4 linked regions of the Coturnix japonica genome follow. The protein of the gene in region 3 binds, or shares a complex with, the protein of the main gene of each other region. Links are inferred from orthologs where the notes say so. Each region holds a gene or a part of one and is shown on either strand. Other genes may lie near its edges. The genes, in order: NME5, ROPN1L, DNAJB13 and DYDC1.

Evidence for each region.
Region 1: the proteins of DNAJB13 (region 3) and NME5 are in contact, whole or in part, in a cryo-EM structure (PDB 8WZB), measured with the Mus musculus proteins. The link is inferred for Coturnix japonica from reciprocal best matches to the Homo sapiens genes DNAJB13 and NME5. Residues at the interface, in NP_705755.2 of Mus musculus: Thr156, Lys157, Lys158, Thr181, Ile182, Asp183, Arg185, Trp188, Arg189, Gly191, Thr192, Arg193, Ile194, Thr195, Phe196, Glu197, Pro281; in NP_542368.2 of Mus musculus: Glu52, His53, Asn56, Met193, Lys199, Pro200, Lys201, Leu202, Cys203, His204, Phe205.
Region 2: DNAJB13 (region 3) and ROPN1L share a complex: the UniProt entries of both Homo sapiens proteins name them as parts of the axonemal radial spoke complex. The link is inferred for Coturnix japonica from reciprocal best matches to the Homo sapiens genes DNAJB13 and ROPN1L.
Region 4: DNAJB13 (region 3) and DYDC1 share a complex: the UniProt entries of both Homo sapiens proteins name them as parts of the axonemal radial spoke complex. The link is inferred for Coturnix japonica from reciprocal best matches to the Homo sapiens genes DNAJB13 and DYDC1.

Annotation. Positions count from the first base shown.
Region 1 is NC_029528.1:3,793,054-3,800,751, reverse strand, and holds the start of NME5 (nucleoside diphosphate kinase homolog 5), read left to right. Parts: upstream 1-2,424; 5' UTR 2,425-3,899; coding exon 3,900-4,028; intron 4,029-5,195; coding exon 5,196-5,401; intron 5,402-5,740; coding exon 5,741-5,841; intron 5,842-6,829; coding exon 6,830-6,948; intron 6,949-7,698. UniProt on the Homo sapiens protein: Functions as part of axonemal radial spoke complexes that play an important part in the motility of sperm and cilia. Does not seem to have nucleoside diphosphate kinase (NDPK) activity.
Region 2 is NC_029517.1:52,306,613-52,314,346, reverse strand, and holds the start of ROPN1L (ropporin-1-like protein), read right to left. Parts: upstream 4,854-7,734; 5' UTR 4,723-4,853; intron 4,717-4,722; exon of another isoform or gene 4,537-4,716; intron 4,450-4,536; 5' UTR 4,423-4,449; coding exon 4,292-4,422; intron 3,247-4,291; coding exon 3,123-3,246; intron 2,958-3,122; coding exon 2,796-2,957; intron 297-2,795; coding exon 121-296; intron 1-120. UniProt on the Homo sapiens protein: Functions as part of axonemal radial spoke complexes that play an important part in the motility of sperm and cilia. Important for male fertility.
Region 3 is NC_029516.1:175,176,207-175,183,908, forward strand, and holds DNAJB13 (dnaJ homolog subfamily B member 13), read left to right. Parts: upstream 1-2,923; 5' UTR 2,924-3,032; coding exon 3,033-3,100; intron 3,101-3,215; coding exon 3,216-3,319; intron 3,320-3,771; coding exon 3,772-3,933; intron 3,934-4,275; coding exon 4,276-4,433; intron 4,434-4,583; coding exon 4,584-4,697; intron 4,698-4,780; coding exon 4,781-4,894; intron 4,895-5,093; coding exon 5,094-5,170; intron 5,171-5,315; coding exon 5,316-5,469; 3' UTR 5,470-5,525; intron 5,526-5,610; exon of another isoform or gene 5,611-5,615; 3' UTR 5,616-5,769; downstream 5,770-7,702. Other genes in the region: PAAF1 (proteasomal ATPase-associated factor 1), read left to right, coding at 148-239, 708-823, 1,288-1,370, 1,742-1,824, 2,485-2,562; mitochondrial uncoupling protein 3, read right to left, coding at 6,170-6,275, 6,366-6,546, 6,624-6,725, 7,308-7,505. UniProt on the Homo sapiens protein: Functions as part of axonemal radial spoke complexes that play an important part in the motility of sperm and cilia.
Region 4 is NC_029521.1:3,509,898-3,517,798, reverse strand, and holds DYDC1 (DPY30 domain-containing protein 1), read right to left. Parts: upstream 5,298-7,901; 5' UTR 5,216-5,297; exon of another isoform or gene 5,168-5,215; intron 5,001-5,167; exon of another isoform or gene 4,998-5,000; 5' UTR 4,992-4,997; coding exon 4,845-4,991; intron 4,733-4,844; coding exon 4,610-4,732; intron 4,069-4,609; coding exon 3,997-4,068; intron 3,184-3,996; coding exon 2,893-3,183; 3' UTR 1,950-2,892; downstream 1-1,949. Other genes in the region: EXOSC3 (exosome complex component RRP40), read left to right, coding at 5,341-5,616, 5,690-5,839, 6,784-6,935. UniProt on the Homo sapiens protein: Functions as part of axonemal radial spoke complexes that play an important part in the motility of sperm and cilia. Plays a crucial role during acrosome biogenesis.

The sequences.
Region 1 (7,698 bases), on a different chromosome or scaffold from region 3:
GTTTTTTTCTGGTCAGGCCCATCTCCATCTCTCAGCTTGGCCATTCCAAGCAGCAGTTTCCAGCTATTATGTCTATTTGATGCTGCATAGAAACAAGGTAGAGATATATATCTAAGGAAGTAAAAGGTAAATGTCTAGTATCTGTATATGTGCTGTGCCCATGCACAGATGAGTAGAAGCTTTATAGGAAACAGTGAGTCTATGCCAGCCTCTAGAGGTATTCAACATGAATGCATCCTGAGCAGAACTGTGGAACTGAGCAGGAGAGGCTATTTTAAAATGGCTCAGTAGAATTCAATTGCTTCAGATGATTTACGTTGTAGGGGCTATTCTTTGTGGAACAAAAGGTAAATAGAACTTGATCAATATGTGTATGGGCTTACAACTGAAAGCCAGAAGTTGTGTGTGGAGTAGAAAATATTTGATGTGGAAAGACATGGAGAACTGACATCAAAAGATGGTCTACAAAATACAATACTTCTGCAGAAATTCTGAAAGGAAGGGAACGGTTTAAATATTGTGATCAGAGGAAAAGGTATCAGCAGTAACTGAGGTGAGGAGAAGCAGCTTGTGCAGGATCCCCAGCCATGGCAGTAACTCACAGAAGTCACAGCAGTTTGGACCAATCTGAATGTAAAACTCCCATTCCTGACTGTGAAGTTCCACCTACTCCTTTGTGCAGTTAAATGTAAAATAACTCAGCTGAAAAGTGGTTGGTTTTCAGCCAAATCATTTATCTAGCACACACTTATTACATGACAGTAAATTGCAATGGAAACACCTTAAGTTTGAAAGGAGGCAGTAATATGAGGCAATCGTATCTGTATTTGTCAATTAGGACAATGAGCTATGAGTTAGGAGGGAAGGGAGGAGAGAAATTATATCAGAGTTTACTGGTGCTCTTGCAGACATGGAAAGAAACACAAGGGAAGCTGTTGCTGTTGGGCTGTGGAAACAGCAGTAGGTGAAAATAATTGCAAAAGCCAAGGTAAGAGGAAAGCTAAACGTGCTAAAAATGACTGGAGACAGAAGAGTTTGGTTTAAGATTTGTTGAGAAGCTTTTAGATGAGTAGAGGAAGCAAAACTGTGATTGAAGTGACTTTAGGGTGCAGCCAGGCAGGAGATGTGGTTGGAAGACTTACAAACATGAGATGTGAGGAGGCACTTCTATGGAGGGGTTGTATTAAATTAACCGATTGATTACAAGAGACTGAAGTGCATCTGTGCAGGTGCTGGGGGGTCAGGGAGAGTGTGTGGCAAAAGCTGTGAACATATGAAAGAGTGGGCATGAGGATCAGGAAATAAAATAGAAGAAGGTCAGCAGAGCATGCTGTAGATAGGAAGTTTGTTATTACTTAGAGCCTTGTAGAAATAAGATCTTTAAAGAAAGTAGTGAGGTAGCAAATACATGAAAGCAGAAATGAAGGCTTGAATTGTGTTAGTCAGAAGCAATATAAAGTTAGCTCGGATTACAGGCGTGTAGGCAAGCTGCAGCAGAGTCGTTAGCTGTAAGAAATGGAGCAGGGAACGGGCTCACAGGAGCGGAAGTTTGCTTGGTCACAGGATTTCCGTCAAAGACACTTTGCACTGCAAAAGCAAGCACGGCTGCAGCACGTTCTGCGTGTGGGTATCCCAGCCTTCATCGTAGGAGACAGAAGCAAATAAAAATGATGTCAGTGGTGGACAGAAGTTGTTTGTGTGGCAAATGAATAGCCAGTCAATGATTACTACTATTTTTTTGGAGTTCAAAGTTTGAAAACAGTATCTTTTCCTTAAGAACATCATTTCTTTGCTACTAGAATGCATCTGCAGCCACAATCTTGTTATTATAGTGTTATTATATTCCATGCCAGCCCAAAATAAGACAACCAAGGCTTGTTAAACTGCTTAACAGGTCAGATACAGCAGCAGAGCTGTGCCCGGAGAAGTATTCGGGACTTAAAATGGTTTGTTGCATTGTAATTAAAATTTCAGGTTTTGTTTGTTTCTTTTCTTAGCTCTTAATAACATCCCTGGGCTACAGAAGTTAGAGAGGACGCTTCAAACCAGCCTTTTAGTCATTAAAGTAGCTTTAAAAGCGCTACAAAGATACCATGCGTACAATAACAGTATCAACACGGGGTTAAAAGGTCGGGTCTATGGAATTTAAGGATTTAGAAGAAACCTTTGAGATACTCTTAGCGTGTAAAGCTACTTCTTTGTTAGGGAACACACGATGTTATTTTCTCTTAATGCGCGGGGTCCCTTTAAATGTGCAACTCTGCATTATTAAACGGTCGTGGGAAGTGTAGCAGGAGGAAACCCCGGGTAATTGGCTGCAGCTTCAGATGCAGCAGCTCGCTCATTGGAGAGCAGAGGATTCTCTGAGTTGCTAAAATTAGATGATCTCCACCCTCCAGAAATGCTTCTGGAAACAGCAAGGAGGAGAAATTGTGACACAGAAGGATGGGGAGTGCACGGGACACTGCTCATGGGGAGGCTGCAGCAGACAAGGATGCACGGACAGATATTGATGCATTTTTTTTTTCCTATCTTTTTTAACTGAGAGCAAAATGCACCCAGCTAAAGGAACTGCGAGAGATTAAAGTCAGCAGTATTCTGTGAGGATATTAAATTCAACGTTTTTTAAGTAATAATCGGAAATATTCACTGGGGCTGAGGGAGGCTTTTGAGCTGCTAAGCCTGGGGTCAGCCTGTCAGCCTTGTAGGCGTTTGGTTTGCAAAGAGAATTAACCCTGAACTAAAAGGAAAAATAGATGAACTCCCAGATCTTTCTAGGAATTTATTTCTCACAAAACACGTCTTTCCCTTATCTGTGAGCAGTTGCTGCATTTACAGTATCTCCGACTGCTGGTTGAGCTCTCTCTGTTTAAGAAGCCGACATGAGTGCTTGTCTCTTGGTCCATCTCACCCCAAGGGCTCAAATGGAACATTAATTCCAGCTGGATGTGACAAACAGATGTCACCCGGGATCCCATCACTGCTGGCAAACACACAGCAGTGGAAGAGGCCTGAATGTGAGGAGTCCATGGGCTGGTGCTGGCGTTATCGCAGCCACCGGGCTGTGCTGAGCCGATAGCAGCTGGCAGGCCTCAGCGGGGCGGCGGGCTGCTTGTTTCTGTGTTAAAACCGGGTAACACCGGGGACAAAATGCCTTTCAATCCAAAGTGCTGAGAAACTGTGTTCTAGAGTTGGGAATTGAGGTCAGCGCCCGCTCTGTTGTGAGCTGCGGGTCCGACGGGAAATAAACAGGAGGTGCCGTGCGTGCTGCCGCCACACGGCGAGATTTAAAGAACCTGCAGGGGGCTTTGGCAATGAAAAGTTTGTTTCTGTTCCAAAACACCGGTTCTACAGCGTAACCTCTGTTCATGAGCGTCAGCTGTGAGATATTGCTTTCAGCGTGGAGTAAAACCGACAGAAAGCTGTGTCACAGGATTAACAACGCATCAGATCCCCAAAACAAGCTATTTTACTCCTTTCCTTACGCTCTTATCACACCTAGAGCTCAGGAAAGAGGCAAATGAGATCCGGAAAGCGCGGTTGCCGAGGGTGCGGCCTCCCCCCGCTCAGGCAGCGCCGCTCCCGGCCGCCATTTCTGCTCCACCCCCGCACACGCACGCAGCCGCCCGCTGCCAGGGCACGGCCGCCATCTTGTGGCCAATGGCAGCTGCCCGCATTGCCCTGCCGGCACCTGGCAACGGGGCGGGCACGGAGGAGCCGTTGGTGACCGGGAGCTTTCCGTGTGTGTTTGCGTGTCTTCAGAGACTCACGGGCACGGAGGCCAAAACCCAGGGAGAACCGTGTCTCAGGAAACCATCCCACGTTACTTACACTATTCGGAGATAAACGTTGTCATCAACTGCTGTCGTTGTAGGGCTAAGAAGTTCTAATGCAGAAAGATGGAGAGGCTCATGCCAGAACCTCAGATTTTTGTGGAAAAAACACTGGCTCTCATCAAACCTGATGTTGTAGATAAGGAGGAAGAGATAGAGGATCTCATCCTCAGATCCGGATTCCTGATTGTTCAGGTAAAAAGCTGCGTTCCTGAGATAACAGCTGCAGTTGGTGGGTCACGTCAATGGTCTTCTTAACTTTCAGCAGTCAGTTCAATAATTAAAAGCTTCTGTTGCCCAAAAATCGGTTTATATTTTTCACGTCATCAACCACAACTCCCAGATTCCTCGAGGATACATTTCGTTGGTGTGTGACATGGAAGAGAACCCACCAGACTTCGCTGACAGAAGAAACCCCATACTTCCTTCATGAACTGGGTTCATTAACAAATGAACTCAAAAACAAAAAGCCTTCTTCCATGTCCCCCCGTGGGGTTGGGTTGGTCGCTGGGTGCCGCTGTCGTCCTCATCGTGTTTGCTTTCTTCTCTTCCTCCTCCTCCCCCTCCTAGTAGTGTGGAGGCAGCACCTTCGGCACCGAACTTTGAGGGCACTGGCTGAGCAGCAACCAGGCTTCTAGATACAAGTATTACATGTATATGCTTCCCTAAAACTGTCATCTTTCGTAAATGCCTTGAAAAGTTTGAAAAGAGTTTGAAAAGAACTTGTTCTTTTTTAATTTCTTCCTCTACATTTCTGTTTGTTTTAAGTATAGGAAATTCATCAGAAGATTAGAGTTGTGTGTGTGCGTGTGTGTGTTTTGTTTTCTTTCTTAATGAGAAGAGCTTTACAGTCATTAACTTTTGACATTGAGGCTGATAGGAATCTGAATGCTCAGCACTCTGTATCACATTAGAGCAGGCTCAAAGAAAGGAGTTTTTAATAAGTTAATTTCTCTCCAGGCTGCCCTGTGCCCTCTGCTGGATAACCTGTTACACCTGGCCTAATTCTGGCTACCTGCAGGCAGGATAGCTATAGTGAAAATCCTAAAGCACCGAATGAAAGAAAGAACAATTGTATAATTAATGCTGCGGGTATTAATTATAACACAGAAACCTCTTGGTTGGTTGCTTCTTTGTTTTGTTTTCTTTTCATTGTTTGTTGTTTCTGTTGTTGTTGTTGCTTTGTATCTCAAGGGGGACCAAATCTGAGAGAATCAGACTAAGCTGGGAAGTTACCCTGTACCTCTTCAGCTTGCACTTGAAAATGTGACTGCCTCCAAAGAACAGTGTGGTACCTGAGGTAGCAAACCAGCTCTATTTAGTAAACTTTTTTCTTTCTCTTCTCTTTTACGCTTTTCTTAGAAACGGAAGCTCCAGCTGAGCCCAGAGCAATGTAGCATCTTTTATGCAGACCAGTATGGAAAAATGTTTTTTCCTAATTTAGCAGCCTATATGAGCTCTGGACCTTCACTTGCTATGGTTCTTGCCAGACATCGGGCAGTCTCATATTGGAAGGAATTGCTTGGACCATCAAACAGCATAAAAGCCAGGCTGACTCACCCTCACAGGTAAGCCTGGTTTTGGTGAAGTCAGAAGGATTCTGTTGTTCTCTTAAATAAAAGGGAGATCAGGATTTCTCCCGCCTTCTTCTGCTCTCTCTCTTTCAGACGAGATAAGGATTTTTAATATTATCTCTAGATTATGCATAGCATAAGTTTTCACCTTTGCATATGTAAAGTTCACTCATTTTACTGAGAACACTGAATGAATATGTAAATGCAAATTTTCATCTCCTACTTAATTTGTTTAAAAACAAATTATTTAGGCTATGTGTATTGCTTTCATACTGTAGACACTTCAGAGGTATTTGCAGTTGCCCATTGAGCAGGTCTTTCTCTTGCTTTTAGTTTAAGAGCAATCTATGGGACTGATGATCTGAGGAATGGACTTCATGGCAGTTTCAGCATTCCCTTGGCAGAAAGAGAAATTCGATTCATGTTTCCAGAAGGTAAAATGATGCTAAAAATTTACTGCCAGCCTTTAGGAGGATAGAATCCCTCTCTCTTATTAATTGTCTCTGTTCAGATTCTAGATATAAGTTAATTCAGAAGGGCTTGGGCTTGTTTGCTTTGTGCAAATGTGTATTTATTTATGTTGATATTTTTTCCTGCAAAAAGCATACCAGTTTCTATTGGAAGAGTTGTTATAGTTACAGTGACTGCTTCTACTTTTCAAACTCCGTAGTTTGGGAATTGGAGCAGATAAAACTGCAAATAAATCTGGAAGCTATTGTAACCTAGCACATTCTTCAGGCAGTGATCAGACCAGGGACTCCTATTGGCTTGAGAAGATTGTCCCTCTTGGGCTTGGAATGAGCAATGTCTGTTCAACAGCAATGTCTGTTCAACAGCAACTGTTCACTCACATGATAGTGCTATTCCTAAGGTAAATGCTAGAGAAATGGATCGTAGTACCTGGAAAACTGGGAGATGGTCTCTTGTTTATAAGGTAACATTGGAATTATGATTTTAGTCTTTGACAGAAAGAGGGGAAATTAGTAGAAAAGCTTGTTGTGTTTCCAATAGGCCTTACCTCATGTAAGCCATCACATTTGCTAGCAAAGCTGGATTTAACATGAGATATTTAAGGCTTCCAGAAACCAGAGCCAAGCTGCAGGAAGGAAATAATAAACATAAGGTATTTTCTTTCTCTCCTACCTCCTAATGAATCTTCAAAGATATAGATGTTTCTCCAAATGGTCTGAGTTTCTATCCTTTCAAAATTGGCTACAATTAGAAAGATTACCTCAGTGGCATTGTAAAGGAATTTAAATGGTGTCTTTGCAGTTTGTTGTGTGAAAATCTTAATAAATTATTACTATATTATTAACTTACATGATACACCGTTTACCTTAATATTATTATAAACAACCTATGAAAGACGGCCTTCCTTGATCACTCAAGTTGCTTTCCAACCCCTGTGTTTACTCTTTACAGCGATCTCAGAGCCAATTCCAGCTGGACAAAGAGTTAGAGATTACTTGAATCTTCATGTATATCCTACATTACTAGCTGGACTCACTGCACTTTGTAAAGAGAAGCCAGCAGATCCAATGGTATGGTATATCAGCACTGTGTTGTATGCTTTGTGATATGTTTGACGTGAATATTCGTGTTCCCTGTATATACATAAGCTACTCTTTTGCAAAAGAGCTGTGTTGTGCTCTGCTGTTTTAGTTAACTGCTAATGAGGTAGTCACATAGTGTTTGCCTTTCAAGAAGTTGATTTGTCTGTTAACTGCTGAGATGAGGGCCAAGGCTATATGTAATCCTCTTCCATTAAATGGTTGTTTTAGGTGACAACTATAGAACTATTGCCTACACGTAGTTGTTACAGATGTCTAGAAAAGCAAGTGCTATCATATGATGCCAAGGGGAAGGTTTTACTTTAATATTTCTAAGGTGTATGGGAAATTGGTAATCACAGCCTGAACCTCTGATTAATCAGCTGAGGCAAGTGTGGGGTCAGCTGTGGGAGCACAGGTGAGAGTAATTTAGCTGTGCTCCCAGAAGGGATGGAGCCTGACTCCACCTCCTCTAGACCTCATTTAATGGCTGACCACCACTAAGGCAGCATCTCTTGGGGATTGCTCTTTGCTGGAGAGTGCCTTAGTGGTTCCCAGCAGAACAAAGGCTTCCATATGGATGAGTTTTTCCTGTAAATAACCTTTTGGGTATTTACCACCATCTTTTCATTATTGTCATTGTACACTAAGGTAAGTTTGAGATAAAATAGCTCTCATAATAGATTTTTGGTAAGCTTACTTAGATGCTAATCACACAGGTAGTAGTTACATGCTTGAGTA
Region 2 (7,734 bases), on a different chromosome or scaffold from region 3:
CCTTTACTCCTATCATGGATGCACCCCAAGCAAAGACAGATGACTCATCTAAAATTAGAGGTCTGTGGAGAATCCAGAGATAACATGTAACTTAAAATTGATGCCTGAACTTTTACTTACGCGTCTTCTTTAATCTTTTGGAGGAAAGATTTGATTTCCTCAGATGGTATGTCTCCATCGATACTAGCCAAATAGCAGTAAAGGAATGAGAACATTTCATAGGGAATACGAGCTGCTCCACCTTCTGGGTCCTCTGTTAAAATTTCGCAGGCATATTTCATTGAACTCAGCAAGGACTGGAAGGGGTTCAAGGAAGGAATGAGAACAGTATCAGAGCCGTTAACATCTTTTGTATATCATGACAAAATGCAGACTGCAAGCCACAGAAAATGAGTGAAAATGAAATGAAGGCTTTATCATTATTACCTAGCTCTCAGTATCAAATTTCTAGCTGTATGAGGAGGCTGAGGAAGCTGGAATTGTTCATTCTGGAGAAGAGGAAGCTCAAGCGGTGAGCCTAATGCTATATAACTACCTATAACTACCTGAAAGACCTGGGATTGTTCAGTCTGGAGAAGATGCTCAGGGGAGACCTTATGTCTCCCAACAAATCCCTGAAAAGAGGTTGTGGTGAGGTGGAAATCAGCCTCTTCTCCCATATAACTAGTGACAGGACTAGAGGGAATGGCCTCAGGTTGCACAAGGGGAGATAACAGGTTGGACATTAGGAAAAGTTTTCTTCTCAGAGAGTGGGCAGGCACTGGAATGGGCTGCCCAGGAAGGTGGTGGAGTCACCATCCCTGGAGGTGTTCAAGGAATGCTTAGATGTTGTACTGAGGGACATGGTTTAGCGGGAAATACTGGTGGTAGGTGGGTAGGTGCACGGTTGCACTGGATGATCTTAGAGGTCTTTTCCAGTCTTGGTGATTCTATGATTTATCAAACAGTGCAGGTTGTGAAAGCAAAACAATAATAAAGTTCAAGTAATAAACGGGAGTAAAAAAAAAAACCACAACTTTGTAATGTTGAAAGATTGCACCAAGTTGTCTGAGCTGTATCCAAAACGCTCAACAGCTCAAACCTCGCTATCTGTCTACGTGTATATATGAGCTCATGGGTCTAAATGGGTTTGCAGTGACAGTTAAGATTGATAGACAAATCTAAAACAAACAAACAAAAAAATGCAACAGTTCCATGTTAAATCTTAGGAATTATAATATTTACTATTTTCCCTCTTTGTATGCAAGCTCCACTTTAATAGTGGAAAAAACCCTGAAGCAAAAAGAATCCAAAAAGCGTCCAAGTTCTCTGTTGAACAAAAACATGCCTCTAAGTGTTAGCTCAAAGCATGCTTTGAAAAAATGCTTTATTCCACGTGGTGCCTGTAATCCAGTACCCTATCCATCCCAGGCTATTAAGGGACATGTGGAAAAATCAGGCATGAAATTTGATTGAATCAAAGGCTGGTTGGATACTATTAAAAACTTACTTTCCTCAAGCCCCACAAAGAAGAAAGCAAAAAAAAACCCAAAAACACACAAAGAAAAAGACTTTTGTTAACCCAAGAAGTCATATTTTTGTTAGAATTTCTTCAAAATTTATCTTAACTTCTTCATCAATAGGCAAGCAATGACTTTACAAATATATATTCAGGAATGTAAACTAAAATTGGAAGAAAAGAATGTAACAATTTGTAAGCCTTTCTGGTTTAAGCTGAAGTTCAGGTTTTCATCGTGCAGAGATAAAATCAAATCATTTTAATATCTGAAAGGATGGATAAAGGAAGTAAATTCAGGTTGTTCAGCTCCATCAGAACAAGGCTCCTGGGACTGCTTTTTTGTTTCGGTTGTTTTCTTTTCTTGTCATCTGGTGGTTTTTGTTCTGTTTTGTTTTTAAGTAACATTGCTGTTGTTACTACTACTACTTTTTTTTTAAGTGAAGGAAAGTAAAAGAAATCACCAAATCCATTTCTGGGCGGGGCTGGAATCAAGAAATATGCCCTTCAGGTGGACAAGTACAACTGCATGGCCAGACTGGGTCAACCAACATCACAGAATCACAGAATTGTAGGGGTTGGAAGGGACCTCTAGAGACCATCGAGTCCAACCCCTCTGCCAAAGCAGGCTCCCTACACCACATCGCACAGGCAGGTGTCCAGTTGGGTCTTGAATATCTCCAGAGAAGGAGACTCCACTGCTTTTCAATAACACAACATTCTCAAAACACTACTGGGCATTTGTTTTCTTCTTAGTACCCCTTCTGCAGTCTTCTAATTTCATACTTCACAAGAACATCAGCTTAGTGCGAGCATTTCATAACAATTCATTTGCAGCGCTCTGCTGAGACTTTATTACTGACATTAGAAGAATTAAATGTAGATTTAGTAACATTAACTGCTTCTGTGAAAATGTAATTGGCTGCACAATTAGAAACTGATGTTTTAATTTCTCCCTCCAGCTCTTCTCTTTTGTCTATTACACTGATGCCATAAGCATTGTTCCTCTATTGCCTTGGTTGAGCTGCCAGTGGACATGCCTACTGTCCTACTGCCACATCCCAGTAAGCATGAGGATAAGCCCTTACTGCTTAAGCTCTCCTTCCAAAACAACCTGTAATCATCATACATTATCATTAGTGGCCAGCCAGGAAGGTTCCTGCTGTGAATGTTAGGCCGGAGGAGGCTAGGAGCACCTAATCTAGCTGTAGGTGCTCCTGTTCATTACAAGGAAGTTGGAGTAAATGAACTTCAAAGGTTCCTTCCAACTCACAACAGTTCTATGATTCTGTGGACATACCTCACCAAGCACGCTGCACCCGAGTGCCAGAATCTTCATCCACTCCACCTCTTCATCAAAGGTGTCCAACTCCAGGATAGCTTCCAGCTGCTCCTCTGGCAGGCACAAGTCTTTCCATTTTTCCTTCAGCTCTGCAACACTTACAGTGCCTTTAGCGGAAAGCTGTAAATACAATTACAGTGCCGCAATAAGAACTCTGAAAAAGAATGAAACTAAGAAAAACAACCCTTCCCAAAACGCATCAAATTTTTGACAGTCATCTACTAATCATCTGGCATGTTTTCTGTCTAAGACAAACACACACATTTGATAAATGTCTGGTTGTACCTGTTTGTGCAAGACTTTAAGGAGTCCCGGGGTCAAACCAGCATCCATCTTCTGTTTTGCTGAAGGTGTTTCAAGTCTCTCCTTCACTGGAAGGGGCTCGCCTTTGGACAGTGCTGTAAAGTACCTGAGTGAATGGGAACAGCAAGGCACTCCAGTACCTAGGATGATTAAACACTATGCCTTTCTTTTCAGTGGAAGACAGTTTCTAGACATCACATACTCCTTTTTATCATACTGTCATAATTTATGAGTAGTTTAACTTATTTTGATTAAGGCAGAAATAAATTTATTAACACCAAGAGTATGCTCGCACAACTGAAGCACAGTCTTTTCCCATTAGATTGATGAGTACCTTTCCAATTTATTTAGCTGATTTATTTAGCGTTCCTCCCACATGCTACCTGTGAAGCCCAACTGGCAATATACTGCAATGCTCACATAACCATTTTGTCTACAGGTCTACACACTCCAAAATAAAATTCAAGGACAGTGTAGAAAGAGAATTCACAGAATCACAGCATTGTAGGGGTTGGAAGGGACCTCCAGAGATCATTGAGTCCAACCCCCCTGCCAAAGCAGGTTCCCTACACCACGTCACACAGGTAGGCATCCAGGCGGGTCTTGAATATCTCCAGAGAAGGAGACTCCACCACCTCCCTGGGCAGCCTGTTCCAGTGCTCCATCACCCTCACCGTAAAGAAGTTCTTGTGCACATTTGTGCGCAACTTCCTATGCTGTAGTTTCATCCCATTACCCCTAGTCCTGTCCCCACGCACTACTGAAAAGAGACCAGACTCACCACTATGGCTCCCACACCTCAGGTATTTATAAACCTGGATCAAATCCCCTCTCAGCCTTCTTTTCTCAAGGCTAAACAGACCCAGTTCCCTAAGTCTCTCCTCATAGGGGAGATGCTCCAGGCCCTTCACCATCTTAGCGGCCCTCCGCTGGACTCCTTCCAAGAGATCCCTGTCTTCTTTGTACTGAAAAACTCGATATGAAATCTTTAAACTAAAAGGCTAAACCAAGTACTATACTACTATTAAAAGGCCAACAGGTTGTGTTATACACTGAAGAATGCAACACTGCTCTATACAGTCAACAGAAGCATTGGGTCTTTGTGGTTCTGTGCTGACAGTGCTACATGGTTATGAGGATGCCATACTTACGCAGCTGACCACTGCAAAACATCATGAGGCTGAGTCCTAATAGCAGCTTTGGTGAACTGTTTGATAATGTCTGGTAGCTCAGGGGGGATTTGGATCTGCTGAGCACAGAACAGGGTGTCTGGAAGAGGCATGGTCTTCTCAAGTTCAGTTACGTGGACCTGAAGGGATTAACAATAAAACAGATGTAGGATGACAACAAAAAACTGCCCGCACAATGTTTACACCCAAACTGCCCCCTTTCTTACTGAGCCTACCAGAGTACCTTAATCTTGATACCAAGCAAAAGCCTGCAGATGGAGCCCAACCACAGCTCTAAGCCCAGACTACTTCTGCTGTCAGCAGCTGCCTTTTGCTAAGTCTTGATCTTCCTCAAGATTAATGCAGCCGCCGCACCACCCCTAGCTCGAGGAAGCCGCTCAGCCCCGCCTCACCTTTGTTTGCGCCGCCGCTGCCCCGGCAACGAGCGCACCGTGACAGCTGAGGGGGCGGGCGGATGGGACGGCGGTTTGCGGCCCGCCTCGCTCAACCGCGGGTGCAGAGCCCGTGTTTAACCCGTGTTTAGCCTCGTTTGTGAGGAGGCCGAAAGCCACATCCAGCCTGGCCTTGAATGCCTGCAGGGATGGGGCACCCACAGCCCCCTTGGGCATCCTGTTCCAGTGCGTCACCATCCTCTGTGTGAAAAACTCCCTTCTAAAATCTAACCTAAACCATGCCCCTTTGGCACTGGCCACCAGTCAGGCATGAGGTATCAGAGGAAAAGAGCTCTCACTTACCTTGTAAAAGCTCATCTCCTTGTCTGTTTTTGAAGACAGTTTCTGTTCTTTATTTAAACTTTACTATAAGAATTCAGTTCGCTGTTTTATGTCTTTATTATTTCATCATTTCTTCTGGGAATCCCAGCCATTGCTCAGACCATACAGCACCTATACATCACAGTATCACAGTCTCACAGTCTCGTGCGGGTTGGAAGGGACCTTAGAGATCATCGAGTCCAACCCCCAACATAAGGCAAACCTAACAAGAACACGGGCTTGGTCACAGGAAACTTACAGTAGAGGTACAAACAAATGGACAGACAGTGAAGTAGAAGAAAAAGCCGTGTTGATCAGCCTGCTAGGCAGCAAGATCAACAAACCACTGCCATCTGTGTTGTGCAGGAAAGGGCTTTTCACTGAATTCTCTGAAGAATAACAGGGCTGCTGTGAACACTTTTATGAGGACCTTTGCTCAAGCATAGGGAAGGGAGAGCAAGGGAGGAATGCGCCCTACTGAGAAATGATGCAAAGTGCTGCAATCGGGGCTGGAGTTTGCATCCTACTGAGAAAGCAGCTGGCAAAATAGTTACAGGCACCAGAGGGCCCTCAGAACATAAACAAATTACTTAGGCTTTACCCAGTGGAGAAGGGGTAGTCAGAGAAAACATGTGAAGTTTTAACTATTTTTAATCAATATAAAAATATTCTGTGTAAAAACAGTCAAAGCCATGCTGCAGTTAAGTAGGCAAAAGATAGCTACAAAGCCATCTGACAGCTCGTGGATAAAGGCCTGTAGAACTAACACCAGCAGACGCTCAGTACCCACAGAGCCAGTGCAGCTAAGCTGGTAGACAACTCCAATCCCTCCCCCTTCACTACTTAAGATCAACAGAGACTGTAATGAAGTCACACACAGCTTCTCCCACTCAAAGAGTAATGCAAAACCACTGCACGCTATATCATGACTCTGGAAGTCACTCGAACACAGCTTGTCATCTGTCCTAGCAACAGACAGCTCACTGACAAGCCTACTATCAAGTTTCCATCGCAGGAGAGTACACACAGCACAGCAAGGCAAACTATAACAATTTTAAACAATAATTAAAAGAAATCATTTAATTTTATATATATATATGTATATATATACACACAACCTTCTTTCCTAGAACATGCTTAAAATAAAGAGATGAGATATTTTGGACTCTTACAATACAGTTTCAGAAACTTCACCCCATCCGTGATCTGTAGAGTAGTGCAAAAGCAAGCTCGAGTTTCATTTGAAACCTGTTCTCATTAACAAAGAGCAAATACAGATAATGTAAGCTACATTAAAATAGCTACAGTTCACATTACATGACTGGATCGACTTCTTGTTTTTTGGTTAACATCATGACTTAACAAAATTAACACTAATAAGAAACAGCACAATGGCTTTTTCTTAATAAATTTTAATGTTAAGACCAGTTTTGATAAAAAACCCACCAAAGTTACACAAATTGCACTACTGCAAATTCTGCACGATGCACAGCAGTGCTGCCAGTGTTGGAGATTTGGGGAACTCTTTATGAAAGATTTGCCAAGGCCAGAATTTTTGGCAAAAAATAAGAATGTAAGTTAGCAATGAATTCAATCTTGTGGAAAAAACATCCTTGTCCCACGAGGATTTACACCACTGGAAATATTCAAATGCAACACTTACGCGGATCAAAAATATCTGGGGGTGAATACTCAAATTAGCCTCTAGTCAGCGAGAATGAAATACAAACATCTTGGCTATCTTCTCCATAACTTCATTCAACTGGAAACATCCTAATTAATCACTCCAAAAGCTATCAGGAAAACAGTAACTCTGTAAGAAGTAGTTTCCGACCTCCCAACAGTGAGGTTCAATGCGTTCTGATACATTTCATTTGTGCTCAGAACATGAGTCCAGACACCAAGATACGCGCTACCACCATCATATTCTGGACCAAACCAGTTCAAAACACATAGATCAGAGATGCAGCATCAATAAAAGGAGATGACATGCTCTAAAAACCTGCCAAATGCTCAAGTATTAATTAGATACATATATAGTTAAGTGCAGAATACTGAAGGACAAGGTACTAAGTCCCAAACTTAATTGTTTCATCAATTTTCTGATTACTGCAGTGGATACTTGTATTCTCTCATCTGGTTTAGGAAAAACACTGCAGTTTAAGCACTGATTCGATGGTACTTAAAGCTCTGTGAATTCTCTTTAAAAGATATATATTAAAAAAATGACTGCAAAAAAACTCTTATCTTCATACAGAAACGACACAAACTTGATTTAGTGCCTCTTGCTGGACTGCCCCTGCAAAGAAACCTGTTAACTTTTCCTTGCCTGTTTAATGGCAGATATAGTAGCATATAGATTTCCCTTCTCTGCAGGCAATTCATGCTATCTGATGAATGCTTTCCTCAGGATTACTGCCATGAAAAATTCACACTGACCCATTCTGAAAGAACACACTTGAAGTGTAACTGTATAAATAAAACCCATGCAGTAGTTTGCAACTTAGGTAACTCACAGGAAAGAAAAAAAAAAAAGATTTCAAGCTCTTTAATGAAGGACCAGATCAGAATGTTGCTTACACTACGCTCTTTGTTTCTGTGCAAACACATCGATAAGATTCGACCCTTCACTTGGGGGTCACAAAGAATACT
Region 3 (7,702 bases):
GTGATTAAGGCTGCAGTCTTGTTGGCTACTGGCCTGCTTTGCATAAGAAGGATATTGCTGTGGGTTCAGCAGTTGTGATCCCAGCCATCAGACTTGAGGACTGTCGTCTCCCTGTGCTGCTGGGGTTAAACTTTGTTTTCCTCTCAGGTGAACGTGAGATTGGGACGGAAGGGAAAATCCTGCTGCTGGCTCGAGAAGACAAGAAGCTGCAAGGAGTTGGGCTGCAGAGCAGGCAGCCGGTAAGGAGGCTGAGACTATCAGTAGTGCTTCAAAATAACCCTGTGCAGGAGGGGATGGGAACCAGCACTGAGCACACACTGGTTTTGTGCTCCAGGTCCTGTGGCACTCCCCTGAGTGTGCTCAGGTGCTGCTATCTATCCAGCTCTCTGGGGAGCATTGCCTTTGGCTGGGGTCCCAAGTTGCAGTATTCTCCCCTGTATTTATTCAGAGAAAGAGAGACTAAAGACCAGTATAAAGGGATCCTTTCTCTCCTTTTTTTTCTGGCTAGGTTTATACGTGGGGGGTTGAGGAGTAAGAATTGCTTGTGTGTTCCACGCAGGTATGTGGCAAGCTAAACAGCAGCCAGTAGATGTCATTGAGAATGCAGGAACAGAAGCTGAGTAAATTGCTGTCCTATTCCTGGCTGTCCTGTGGCTGCTTTGGCACATCTGTGAGATCTCACACTTTGCCGTTCTTTATATTCCCAGGTGTTCCTCTTTGATGGATCTGATGCCTTCAATTGCTGCACGTTCCTCTCAAGTACCTATTTCCTAGCAGGGACTCAGGATGGGAACATCTATCAGCTGGATGTGAGAAACACCAAGTGAGTACATACGTGGGGCTGCAAGTCTTGAACCACAATTGTGGTTAGTTGTTTTCCTCCCAGGAAGAGTCAGATCAAAGGTGCTGGCAGACAGTGGAGGTGGATACAGCCCAGACAGTGGCACTGTGAGCTTTGGAACCCCTTGCAGCCTTTTCCTTCTCTTGGGTAGCATTCAAGAGGATGCTTTGGCAGGAGCTGCTCTGAGGTGGCTTGTAGTTGTTGTAAAGGGCAGACTCTAAGCAAGGAGCATCCAGATGGATGGGTGAGGACAGAGGAGCCTGGCATGGAATAATCTGACAAGTCTTTCAATCATATAAGCTCCAAACTTGTGGCTGTTTTGGTAGGGATAATCCCCATGTTCTCCTTGTCTATCTTTTAATCACTACCTCACGTTCTGCTTTCAGCACTCAGACATTGGGATGATTTGTCCATAACGCTCTTCTTCCCATTCCTCTTTTTTCCAGTGCTCCAATCCAAATCATTCACAGATCAGGAGCACCAGTGCTTTCTCTGCTCCCATACAGAGATGGATTCATTGCCAGCCAAGGTAACTCAAGTGCTGTGTGCAGATCATAGACTTGAGCTGAGCAGTTCTTTGCTCCTTATGCCCTCTCTTACATACAAACACAGGATGTCCGAGCCACTAGGAGAGGGTTTCACAGAGTGTCCATTGCAAAAAGTTGATGTAGTGGAACATCCTATTACGTAGTTGCTTTTTGCCTTGTGATTTTTCTTGTGCTCCCCCATATCATGGCCTGCAAGGAGCTTCTCAGTCATTAGAGCCTTTTCTCATCACATGTCTCCCTTTTCTTGGGCATTTCTGCTGGGCTCATAGTGCTGTTTATAGAAAGAACGTGGCCTGTTTTTACTCATCACCCAATATTCTTTCCTTCCTTGGTGTTCCTTCTGCTTGCGTAGGTGATGGAACGTGCTTTATCATTCAGCAAGACCTCGATTATGTCATCGACCTCACAGAGGCAGATTGTGACCCTGTGTACAAGGTAAGGCCCACAGTGCTCATCCAGCTCCAACCCCCTGCTATGTGCAGGGTCACCAACCAGCAGCCCAGGCTGCCCAGAGCCACATCCAGCCTGGCCTTGAATGCCTGCAGGGATGGGGCATCCACAGCCTCCTTGGGCAACCTGTTCCAGTGCGTCACCACCCTCTGGGTGTAAAACCCTCCTAAGATCCAACCTAAACCTCCCGTCTCACTTTCAAACCATTCCCCCTTGTCCTATCACTGCCCACCCTCACAAACAGCTGTTCCCCCTCCTGTTTATTCGCTCCCTTCAAGTACTGGATGCCCACAATGAGGTCTCCCCGCAGCCTTATCCTCTCCAAGCTAAACCAGCCCAGTTCCCTCAACCTTTCCTCATAGCAGAGCTGCTCCAGCCCTCTGGCCATCTTAGTGGTCTCCTTTGGACCCACTCAAGAGCTCCACGTCCTTCCTGTGCTGGAGGCCCCAGGCCTGGATGCAGCACTGCAGATGGGGCCTCACAAGAGCCAAGTAGAGGGGGACAATCACCCCCCTGTCCCTGCTGGCCACCCCTTTAAATGCAGCCCAGCACACAGTTGCACTTGGCCTTATTGAACCTCATTGTGTTCTCCCACCCAGCTTTGTTGGCTTATTGCATTATTTCCCCCCCCCCTCCTTGTTTCAGGTCGCTCAGTGGGAGAAGCAGATCTACACGTGCTGCAGGGACGGCGTGGTGCGGCGGTACCAGCTGGGAGACCTGTAGGGGTTAATGGGGGGTCTATGATCAACATGGCTGTGTGTGTTATAGGGGATGTGAGCAACATGGCTGTGTGTGTTATGGGGTCTGTGAGCAACATGGCTGTGTGTGTTATGGGGTCTATGGGGTCTATGAGGGAGGGATGGGGCTGATGTTATGGCTGTTTCTGCTCATTTCTGCCCCTTCCAGCCCCTTTTTATCTGCTGTGAGGTGGATTTGGGTGTTAAATCGAGGCTGTGGGCTGAAATAAAGCCGCTTTCATAGAGTTTGTGTGGAGGAAAAGTCGGTGTTAATCTTAAAGCTCCGAGTGGGTTGTTTGGTACAAAATGGCGGTGGGTGGCGCTGAAAGAACTACAACTCCCATCGTGCTCCGCGCTAACGGAAACGGAAATATATCAGAGAGCCGGAAGTGCGGCCTACAGGCGTTGCCTTGGTAACCCATCCTCTGTTTGCGTAACCATAGCGAGGAGGCCGCCATGGGGCAGGATTACTACGCCGTGCTGGAGCTGGGCCGCCAGGCCACGGACGCCGACATTAAGAAGGCGTGAGGGGGGGTGGATAGACGTGGGTTGGGGGCGGGTTGGGGGCGAATGGCCGCTTCAATCCCAGCATGGGGCCTAGCGGGGGCTGTAGGCCTCGCTGTGCTCCTCATCCCGCAGGTACCGGCTGTTGGCCTTGGAGAACCACCCGCAGAAATGCAGGGAGCCGGAGGCGCAGGAGCGGTTCAGGCTGTTGGCGGAGGCCTACGATGTGCTGAGCGACCGTAAGCAGCGGGGATGAGTCCATAGGGTCACAGAATGGGGCTGGGTTACAAAGGCCCACAGTGCTCATCCAGCTCCAGCCCCCTGCTGTGTGTGGGGTCACCAACCAGCAGCCCAGGCTGCCCAGAGCCACATCCAGCCTGGCCTCATCCAGGCTGAACATCCCCCTCAGCCTGGCTCCGTCCTCTGAGCATTCCCATGTCCTCCTATAGACCCACAGCCCCACGTCCCTCCTGTGCTGGAGGCCCCAGGTCTAAATGCAGTGCTTCACATGAAGGGGACATTCCCTTCCTGCCTGTTTCCCTCTATTGGTGCAGCACTGCTGGCCCTATGTGCTGGGATTACTCATGTCCTGCTTTTCTCTACCACAACTCCCACCTCCTTCCCCTCAGGGCCGCTCTGAGCGCGTCCTTCTCAGTAAGATATCTGTTCCCCGTCTCTCCTTGCCCCATAGCTGTAAGGAGAGGCATCTACGATCGGTTCGGTGAAGAAGGTCTCAAAGGCGGCGTCCCTGTGGAGTCTGGCAGTGAGGATGCCTGGACTCCTGGTTATGTTTTCCACAACAACCCCGACAGAGTCTTCAAGGAGTTCTTTGGAGGACACAACCCCTTTGCAGGTGGGTGGCTGCTCTGCTGCCATCCATGGGGCAGCCTGTGCCCTTTTAGGGCTGTGCTCATCACCAGCCCCTGAACTTCTTCCTAACAGACCTCAAAGCCCCCTCAGCCCCATCCCTTGTTATGGGTGCCCCCAGCTCAGGCTGCCCAGGGCCCATCTGTGGCCTATGGCACCTCCAGGGATGGGGCACCCACAGCTCTGGGCAGTGCCGGGGTCTTACCACCCTCTGAGTGAAATATTACCATCATCTCATCTCCATCTCCTCTCTGCTACAAGTTTTGTTCTTTCATTCACACTGGGAATGTGGTTTGGAGCCCCGTATCCTCCATGCTGCCCCATGCAGAGTTCTTCACCAAGGATGGTGTGGAGGCGACGCTGCCCTTTGGAGGGCTGCGAGGAAGAGGTGTGATGAAGCAGGACCCCCCGATGGTGTGGGACCTCCATGTCTCCCTCGAAGACCTTTTCTTTGGCTGCACCAAGAAGATGAAGATCTCCCGCCGGGTAAGGACAGTGAGGGACCTTGTGCCAGGCAGGATGAGCTACACCTTCCCCCCAGCAGATTGCATTGCACCAGGGTGCATCCAGCCCGGCCTGGAGCTGTTCTGACAGCAGAGGTTTCCCTTTATCCCCCCAAACTCATCCACCCTGCAGGTGATGAACGAAGACGGCCAAACAAGCACCATCAGGGACAAGATCCTGATCATCGACGTGCAGCCGGGGTGGAAGCAAGGCACCAGGATCACATTTGAGAAGGAAGGAGACCAGGTAACCTCTGTGACCTGAAGTTGTGGGCTGGGCCCATAAAACCATTCCTAGAGCTCCTTTCCCACCCCCATCCCCCTTTTTAGGGCCCAAACATCATTCCAGCCGACATCATCTTCGTTATCCAAGAGAAACCTCACCCGAGGTTTAAAAGATCCAACGACGACCTCATTTACGTGGCCAACATCCCCCTGGGAAAGGTGAGGAGCAAAGGGAGGGGGCGTCCAGCTGCCTTTTGCCTTCAGCCAGCAACTGCAAAACATGCAGAAGGAGGATAGCGCCGGGTTCGGAGCCTCGGCCCCTTTGGTCCCTATGGGAGTTGTCCTTGGCACCATGGTTAATGATGGGGGGCTCTGTGTGGCCGCATCTGCAGCTCTTGGTCCTGCTCTGTGTCTTTAGGCACTGATTGGCTGCACAGTGGAAGTGAGGACGCTGGATGGGCGGCTGCTGAACATCCCCATCAATGACATCGTGCAGTGAGTGTGCAGATCTGCAGGCAGATGGGTGCTATGGGAGGAACCTCTGTGGGCTGCCAGCTGCTCCTCTTGGGTTTCTTGGGTGCTCCAAGAGCTTTGGGAGCAGGTTGGGGGCTCCCACCCTCAGCTCCCTCTCACTTTGCAGCCCCACCTACTGCAAAGTGGTGCCTGGGGAAGGGATGCCGCTGCTGAAGGACCCGCACCAAAAGGGCGACCTCCTCATCCAGTTCAACGTCTGCTTCCCCAAACGTCTCAGCCCCAACAAGAAGGTGCTCCTGAAGAGAGCGCTGCTGCCCTAAGAGCTGCTGCCACCCCCCGCTTTCCTCCCGCTGAGGCCGCCAGTGCTGAGAGTGAGGTACAAACGGGGCTCCCCGCAGCCCAACTCTGCTCCCCTTGTGTTCTGCTGCACCCATCACTGCTCTCCTCCCTTCCTTCTGCACTGCAGCTCTCCCCGCTGTTGGGCTGCTCCCCTTTGGCAAGAGCAGAATCATTGAGGAAGAGACCACGAGGGCTGGAACCCAACAGCAGCTCCGGACCGGGAGTAAAACCCCACCCTCCCCTCTAATAAAGAGAAGGTGACAGAACCCCAAGTACTACTGGGATAGACCCCATAGGGGTGATTTATTTGAAGCATCAGTGAGGAACACCTGGACTTACCGCATCCCCCATGCCATAATGCTCCTCCCCACCTGTCCATCCCACTGCTGCTGGGAAGCTCCTAACTGGAAAACCTCAAGGCCTTCTTCCTTCCTCTCCCTGCTCCGCTGCGCACACCTCCATCATCCAGACACCTCCATCCATCCATATACCTCCATCTGGTCACCTCCATCCTCCCTCTCTGTCTGTTCTCCTCCTGCTGGTCCCTCACGAGCCACCTTTGGTCCCTCTCATCCCATAGGCTCAGGGGGACCTTTGCTGTCTCCCTTCCCCGCCGCTCCAGCAATTAATATAATTGACTGCTGCAGCTCATCAGCGCTGACGATTTGGGGCTGGGGTCCATCAGGGCGGTGCAGACCGGGCCAGCATCACCAGGCGCTGCAGCTGCTCATAGGAGATGAACATCACCACGTTCCAGGAGCCGAGGCGCAGGAAGGAGGGGACGAACCTGCAGTGAGGACGGCGGCGTTGGAGGGGACGGCCGCGGTCAGCGCTGTGTGACATGGCGGTGATATGGGGCTGGTGTTGCTGCACTCACCCCTTGTAGAGACCAGCGACACCGTCCTGCAGCAGCAGGGCCAGCAGGCAGCTCGGCACATTGCGGTACTGCCCGGGGCCCGCGTTCATGTACCGCGTCTTCACCACGTCCACCGGTGACGCCACCACTGTGGCGCAGAATCCAGCCCCGAAAGCGGCCACGAAGTGACAGGGGATGTTGTCTGTGGGGCAGGATGGGGTGTGAGGGCTATGGGGATGGGGATGGCACACAGGGCTGTGCCTTCAGTCCCATCCTCACCCGTCATCAGCTGCGCCCGCAGCAGCGCGTCCTTGATGAGGTCGTAGGTGACGAGCTCGCCGCAGTTAATGATGGCGTTGCGGGCGATGTTGGGCATCGTCCCTGTGGGGAGTGTGGTGCTGTTGGGACTGCTGGGTGCCCCAGTGCCACCGTCCCTGTCCTCCCATCCCCATCCCTCGTCTCCATTCAGGGCTGAGAGATGGGGCTCATAGAATCATTAATGGTGGAAAAGCCCTCCAAGATCCCCAAGTCCAACCCCAACCCAACCCCACCAACCCAGCCCCACCACACCCACTGATTGTGTTGCTCAGTGCCACATCCCTACAGTTCTCCTAGAGATCTCACCTTTAAGGAGGGCCCTGGCACTGATGCCCAGAGCTGTGGGTGCCCCTCTCTGGCAGTGCCCGAAGCCACAGATGGAGCTACAGACACCAGGGCTGCAGGAGGTGTCCCTGCCCACGGAGGGGTTGTGGCTGGATGGGGGCTGAGTTCCCACCCTAACTCCTCTGATGCTACAAGTCCTGTTCCCATCCCATGCCATTCCCATCCTCTTTTCTATTCTATCCCTATCCTCACGTCATGCCATCCCATCCCATCTACCTTCCTCACCACTACCTCCTCTTCCATCCCACCCCATCCCATCCCATCCCACCCCACCCCATCCCACCCCATCCCATCCCCTACCTCTCCACAGCCCACGCACTCCCTCCTCCCTGGCGATGGTCCTGTAGGCATCCACGGTGCCGTTGTACCGACGGTTGCTCTCAGGCAGCGCCCCAAGAGCCTGGAACCGCACCTTGACCACGTCGGTGGGTTGGGCGCATGTCACGGCCACGGCCCCCGTGGTGCATCCTGCCAGCAGCCGAGCCAGCAGCCCCGTGCCTGGGGAGGGCACAAGTTGGGAACCCCATCCCATACCACAGGTAGGGAGAGGGGTGACTCTGGGGCTTGGGGATGCAATTTGGGGCTGGGTTCTGCATGCTTGGGGTAGGTTGGTTCCCATTGAGGTAGCTGGTCCCTACTGGGATGAGCTGGTCCCACATTGGTGTGGGTTGGTCCCCTAATGGGGTGGGTTATCC
Region 4 (7,901 bases), on a different chromosome or scaffold from region 3:
TACAGATAATTGACACAGTTTGTTAACATGCAAATGCAGGAGAGATTATTTTAAGAATTGACTGAACAGAATGAATGTGCTGGTGCTTGTAGCTCACCTGCAATCGCACAGTAATCAGTGAAGGTTTTAAACTGTAGAGCAAACAACTGGAGTCATAACAAGTACCTCATGGTTTCTGATGGACTGACATCTTCTAGTACAGCTTTGTACTACATCCTTCCAATATGTGAAGGGAGCATATGAACAGGAAGGGGAGCTGTTTATGAGGGTGGATGGTGTTAAGACAAGGGGGAATGGTTTCAAACTTAGACCCTTAAACTGAGATCTTAGGAGGAAGTTTTTCACCCAGAGGGTGGTGACACGCTGGAACAGGTTGCCCAAGGAGGCTGTGGATGCCCCATCCATGGAGGCATCCAAGGCCAGGCTGGATGTGGCTCTGGGCAGCCTGTTCTGCTGGTTGGCAACCCTGCATGCTGTAGCAGGGGCTTGAAAGCAGATGGTCATATATATATATATATATATATATATATATATATATATATATATATATATATATATTTTCCACTTCAAGAATCAACAGGTAATCAACGAAAAATACATTTATTTCTTTTATCCCATTTCCAGTTTCCTTCCTCCAGGTCAGCCATGCCAGCTACTGTGGTTAAAGAACAGAAAGGAAGCACAGCATGCCAAAATTAACAGGCTTTATAGGAACACCCAGAAAGCAAAGAAACCAAAATAACAGGTATATATGTAATCAGTTCTCTATATCAAGTACACAGATTAATGCATTGCCCTTCAGGGTCAGCTGGTAACGTGTAGAATTTATTTTTACTGCTTTCAGATCAGCTGGAAATTTCTTGTTCAAACTCTGGTGTTAAATCAATCAGTTGCAGTCTAAAGACAAAATATATATATATCAATTGTTAGCATTTACATTGTACAAAGAAGGAAAAATCACGTATGGTAGATGAGTCTGTTCATAAATAGAAATATGTATCCTTCCATTCAGTTAAATATGACAAAGTTTTATCAGCAGACTTGATCTAAGATCCAGTAAGTTTGGATGATGTGATATGACTCCGAGAACAGAATAGTTTCAATGCTAAAGGTGATTATAGTTTCTTTTTATTGATCTTAATTTGTGATTTCATATGAAAATTGTAGCACTGCAAAACCTGCGATGACATCATGAAAGGGTTTATGTAATCCAACTTTAAACAACGTTAGGCATGAAATCTTTGTGGGTGATGTGGAAGACATACGTGAAGGTAATTTGAGACAGTCAGCGTGACTTCACCAGGGGCAGATTGTGCCTCACCCGTCTGGTGGCCTTCTATGACAAGCGGATAAAGGAAAGGTAATAGATACGTCATACACCTGGACTGCTGCAAGGCCTTTGATATGGTCCTACATCACATTCCTGTCTCTAAATGGGAAAGATATGAAATGGATCAGTGGACTGTTCAGTGGATAAGGATTTGGTCAGCTGGCCACCGGCAGAAGATTGTGGTTGACCGTTCTCTGTACAAGTGGAGGACCCCAGAGGTTCATCTTGGGACCAGTCTGTTTGCTGATCAGAAGGCCAAATGTGTCATGAGCTGCTTGAAAGAGGAATGAGGGTGGAGGAGATTACTGTCCCCCTCTACTCTGCCCTTGTAGGCGTAATCTGCAGTACTACACCTGTGGCAGGGTTGTTTAAACTAGTTTTAAGGTTCCTTCCAACTCAAGCCATTCTATGGTTCAATAGTAATAGTAATAGTCTCGTGTGGGTTGGAAGGGACCTTAGAGATCATCGAGTCCAACTCCCGGGATTCGAGCCTCTGTGCTGCAGAGCGGCACTTCTACCACTTGCGCCACAGGGGGGATTCGAACCCCGGGCCCTGATGTTGCAAGGCGGCATTCCTACCACTGCGCCACCGGGGCACACTTTGATTCATTTGCACTTCTGGTTTTGCAATTCATTTCATTAAGGATGTGTAAAATACACCCAGAGCCTCATATATGGCTTTTAATACTCGGTTGCCAGAAAATGATAATAAAAAACAGGACTAAGCAAGGCCTTGAGATCCTGTCACATTTACCACTTGGCAAAATCCAAATAATTGAGGAAACTTTGCCCTAGTCATAAATACATTCACAAATGTATTTGCAGGGCTTTTATAAAACAGGTTGTTACTAAAGCAAAAGTGTGCTAATACCACAAATTTCAGTTCTGAGCTGGGATTATACTACCAGTATCAGAAAACAAGTGAGCAAATGACTGAGGCTAACAAAGGAAAAAGGGCTCAGCTTCAGTACTAAAACCAGTCCAGCCAAATTCCAAGTCACACTACCTAGAATATCATAGCTGAAAAAAGCTAAACACACTGATATTTATCTCCAGTGATGTGCATAAAGCAGCATCATCTGTTTAATGTACTGCCATGCTTTACAGTCAATGACAGTTGATTTATACCCTCTCATGTACTAGGATTGTCAAGCACAAAGTGAATAAAAAAATAGGGGTGTAGAAGATGGCTGCATATCACAATTTAGATTGATAGTTGTAGTTTTGGAATAAGTACTGTCATGCTGGCACAGGGTTTGGATAACCTGATTCTTAGCAGGTCTTTGCTGCACTGAGCACTGTGCGCTTGGTACCTGGTCTTTTACATTAAATAATTGTTCAGATATCTCTGCGTTCTGCTGCATGAACAATGTACTTCAGACCAATCAGAATAATGTAAGTCATTTCATTCAGAAGCAAGACAGTGTTTGTGATTGAGTCTGTGTCCTGTTTGACACCTGCTCAAAAGGCGAAGGAAGGCTGCTTCTTGTCTGAGAATATTAATACATCCATTCATAACACACATGACTATAAAGGGGCATTTTAAATCTTTGGCACTTTATTCACTCAGCACCACATAAGCAGCCTTTCAGAATGTACAGCCTAAGGACAGCATGAAGACTGTGGCCCAAATAATATCCCTTCAGATTGTAGTAAAGAACCGGTATAGGGTTAACTAGAACAGTCTTAGTCTTCCATTTGTCAGCAAGAAAATGTTTGAGCATTAATTCCATGTAACCTTTTTCTTTCCAAACACTTACCTCAGACACTCCACTCTCATCTACTTCCTCAACTGTGGGCAAATTAGGTGCTCCTGCTCTATCTGTAAGTTCAGCTATTGTCTTCTCATCTTCCTGTAGTGGAAATTCATTTTCAATTAGAAGTATTCCGTGTCATGAGCAATCGTCTACAGTGGATACTTTGAACATGCTTTGAAAATGTAGTTTAAGTATGAATGTAAAGACAATACTTCAGATGCTTGCTACACAAATGTGTTAGTGTGCAAATGGGGTCTTTGTGCATGTAAAGACTGTTTTTACAAAGGTTTCAGGGTTCTTTTTTGCTTCAGTTTATAAACGTGCATACTTCTGTTACATTTACAGTCATTCTTCTAGCTATGTGCTATCAATATCTCAACACAGTGCTCTAAAAATATCTCTATTCTGCTCCAAGTAAAGTTAGGAAATGTTTCACGTCTAAGTGTCAATGATCAATCTGTTTTACCAAAACAGCATCATATGACTATGTATTTATATGGAAGACCAAAAAATCAAGAGGCATCCCACCTCCAAGTGTTGGTTCCTTTTCCAGGTGTGGCAAATGGGCTTCACGTTGCCAGGCAGTAAAATGTAACTATCTAAGCATTCATGTTAGACACGTTCAAGTTCTAGTATTTTATTAATTAAAAAAAAATCTGAACTTAAGCTACATTTTATAATAACTTTATGCTCTGTTCTGAATAAAAGCTAAAGAAACCCAATAGAACAGATGAGAATTCAAGTCTAAAACCTAAGCTGGAAAGAAGCATTAAACGTTCTTCCCTAATGTTAGCTTTCTGTTTTGTTGTGTTCAAGGCTTCTGCCTTGTGTTCTGTATTTAGGGACTGGATCTGAATAAGAGAGATGATTAACAATATTTCTTTATCTTGACTAAGCTTTGGCTTAAACCTCTGGATCTTTCTGCTGCTCCTGCATGTTCTCTTCTTTATTCTGCTGTTCCATCTTCTCACGTTCTTGTTCCTATTGTAAAGAGAAGACAGCTGAAGATAGCGTATATGCTTTTGATACTCAGTTCCTCGTGCTCTTTAGTAGTTAATATTTATATCTCCTATACTTTGGATTAGGCTCTTTGAAGCTTTGCACAGCATCTATTATAGACAGACTAATCCATATAGATTCTATGGGAGGAAAAAATAGCTAAGATAGTTAACTGCAGAAGACAGTCTACTTATCCTAATCTAATTTTCTAACATATCTTTAGTTAGTTTCTCTTTAGCTTAGTCTCTTCATTTTTGGTAACATCTTGTCATGTAGCAGGTAAGTTTTTCTCCCCAGCTGCTCAGCTGTCCTTTCTAATTCCTTTCGAAATAATGATATTTTCAAAACGCAATGTTTAAGCACTTTTTGTTATCTTTTCCCTTTCAAGATCAGAATACAATTGTAGGTACTTTCCAACATTCTGATTCTCTTATGATTCTATGTTGATAATGACTACTATTGTAGTGAGAGCTACAAGTTGACCCAGCATCACACGCTACTATAATTATGAACAACTATTAACCTGCCGTTGTTCTTCAAGTTTCTGTTGTATCAGTAGCTCTTCTTCCTTCATTTTTCTTAACATTTCAAGTTCTTCCAGGGCTGCCTGCCGTTCTTTTTCCAGTTTGGCCCTTTCCAACGTTCTCTATTTCAGAGGTAACAAGAAATCAATGAAAAAAAAAGGAAACAAAACACAAAGAGAGATTATACAGCATCAGTTAGATTGACATGAAATGCTTTGCCCGAGGTAGACCCACCTTCTTTTCTTCTTCTAGTGTTTTCTTGTAGTTGTAGATCCAGTGTGCCAGGTACTCTATTGGGTCAGCGGGCCGACGCTCCACAACCTCCGCCAGACCCTTTTTCAAGCAGCTTCCCAGACATCTCCTCAGGTATTGAGACTCCATTCTCACCTACTGACAAACCGACAGATATTAGTCACCGATATCGGAATTCAGACAGCAGTTAGAGGAAGTGTTGACTGCATCACATCCCCAGTGTGATGTTGGTGGTTTTATCAAAGCTCATTTCATCAGGCAATTAATATGAGAAGGTGGTAGCGGTGCTGTCCCCCGTTCCCTACCGCTTCGCTCCTACCGGCCCGATCGCACAGCGCGTCCAACCGCGTTACCGGGCAACCGCGCTCCCGGCTGGATCCTGCGTCAGGCGGCCGGGCGGTGTCGCTGTCGTTGCGCTCTCGGCCCTTCCATCGCCGCCGCCATTTTGCGTCTGCTTCCGCCGGAAGGGCCGCACGCGATGGCGGGTGGGGGCGGCGTGCCGGCGGAGACCCGTGTGGGACAAGTGGTGCTGCCCGGCGATGTGCTGCTGCTGCCCGAGCACGGAGAGCCCGACCTCGACAAGCTGCCGCTGGGCACCAGCGCGGCCCCGCGGGGGAGGCTGCTGTGCGGGCCGGGGCTGCGGCGCTGTGCGGGCGGGCTGCTGGTCACCAAGTGCGGGCTGCTGCGGCACCGGCAGGCGGGCGGCGGAGCGGCGGCGGGCGGCGCCTACTGGGTGGACTCGCAGCAGAAGCGGGTACGGCGGCAGCGGGCGGCGGGGGGCGGTGATGTGCGGGACGAGCCCGCTGATCGCTTGTACCCGCTTGTAGTACGTGCCGGTGAAGGGAGACCACGTTATCGGCATCGTGACGGGCAAGGTGGGGGACGTGTTCCGGCTGGACGTCGGTGGTAGCGAGCAGGCCTCGCTGTCATACCTGGCCTTCGAGGGCGCGACCAAGAGGAACAGGCCCAACGTGCAGGTAACGCTGCCCGCCGGGAGCTTGCCTTTGTAAACGGTGTTTTTACCACTCGGACCATATAAACGAGGAACGTGACTTTTTTCACAGAGCTTTTGTCATGGCCTGTACGGGGTGTCCCGATGAGGCCGTGAGTTTTTTCTGTTTTCTCCGGAGCTTTTTGTGCTTCTTCACTTCTGACCTTACACCTTTCCCATCGGTTAACAGTGGCAGGTGCTACTCGTGCAGTAACGTGGGTCCCAAGGGGCCACCCTGAGGCTTTAAAGCATCCTCTGAACGCTGGTGCTGGTAGAGGAGGGTTTGCTTTGTAGCATTTACAAGTTGTTTTGTGATATGTGCGTTCACCAGAAACACTGTCAGCATGGTGTAAAATGGGCTGTGATTTTAAATGGAATAGACTGGTATGGCTTCTGGTGCGCCTTCTGAGTAAAGAATTGTTTCCTAACATGTAACCTTTATCTCCCCTCTGTTAATTCAAAGCCATTCCCCCTTGTCCTGTCACTACTAGGCTATATAAAAAGTCACTCCCTATAAGCACTGGAAGGCTTCGATGGGGTCTATCCAGAGCCTTTTCCAGGCTCAACAAGCCTAACTCTCTCAACTTTTCTTCACACAAGAGGCGCTCCGGCCCTCTTCTGACCCATTCCAATGGTCTTGTGTCAGGGGCCACAGGCTTGGACAGAGTACCCCAGGTGGGGCCTCACAATGGCAGAATAAAGGGGTCAGTTACCTCATTCACCCTTCTAGCTATCTTTCTTTGGATCCAGCCTGGGATCCCATTGGCCTTCTGAGCTGCAAGTGTACGCTGCTGGTTCTTGTCCAAGTGTTCATCCAGTTTACAACTGTTTTGTTGTCTCTTTATGGACTGAATGTTTCTTACAAATGTGCATTGTTATCTTCTCTAATGATTCTTTTTTTTTGTTGTTTTCTGGCACTGCTTGCTTTAGGTGGGAGACCTTGTTTATGGTCAGTTCCTTGTAGCAAATAAAGACATGGAACCAGAGATGGTCTGTATAGACAGCAGTGGAAGAGCAAGTGGAATGGGAGTAATTGGACAAGACGGCTTCCTCTTTAAAGTTTCCTTAGGTCTGATAAGAAAGTAAGTACTAAGAAAACCAGTTGTACTAAAGTGTTGGGGTTGTTAAACTTAGCATGTGTCTAAACAACACACAGTCATTAGCTCCTCTCCCTCCAGACCCTGTCCTGCTTTTCCCTATAGGCTTGGGAATAGAATCGATTAAAAAACAGACACAAAGTAGAATTCATGGGTTGAGATAAAACTGTTTACAAAGAGAAAAGAAAACAAGATACTACTTAAGAGAAATACATATATGTGAATGTATATAGGAAGTTACCCACTGACTGATGCCCAGCTAGGCCCCAAGCAGCAGGAGAGAGAGAAAAAAGGACTCATGTCCCATTCAAAACTTTCCTTTTGCGTAATGTTATATGGTATGGAATATCCCTTTGGCCACTTAAAGTCAGCTGTCTTATTTCTATCCCTTCCCAGCTGCTTGGGTGCCCTGCCCTGTGCTTCCGAGATCCTTGTTAGTTCCCCATCCCCCAGTTGGTAGGATGGTAAGAGAGAGTGGGGAAAAATGAAGTATGCTTGGCTCTGTACAGCAGTGTTCAGCAACAGCTGGAAATACAGGTGTATTATCATTGTTTTTCTCCTAAAACCAGAACAGCATCTTAGCAGGCACTGAAGGAGAGACAATTGTGTGCAGCTGAAACTGGAAGAGTAACATTTTGTTTTTAGGTAGGATATGCACAGCTGTCTCCAATTCAAGTAGTGTGAACTAGCCAGTAACTGCTATGTGGCTGTTGTGCTGCATTTATGCCAGTTTTACTGGGGAAAGGATGCATGTACATTGAACTAGAAACAGTGTGTGACTATCATAAAATACCAGCTGATAGTGATAAGAGATGGTCAGACTAGTTGTTGCTTTGATGTTGAGGGAGGAGAGGTGAGCATCTGTTCTTGGAGATAACAAGTAGCTATGTCATACCTGGGTTTAGTAAGTAATTTGGTTTATGTGTCTTATCAGTGTGAACAGCTAAGTTG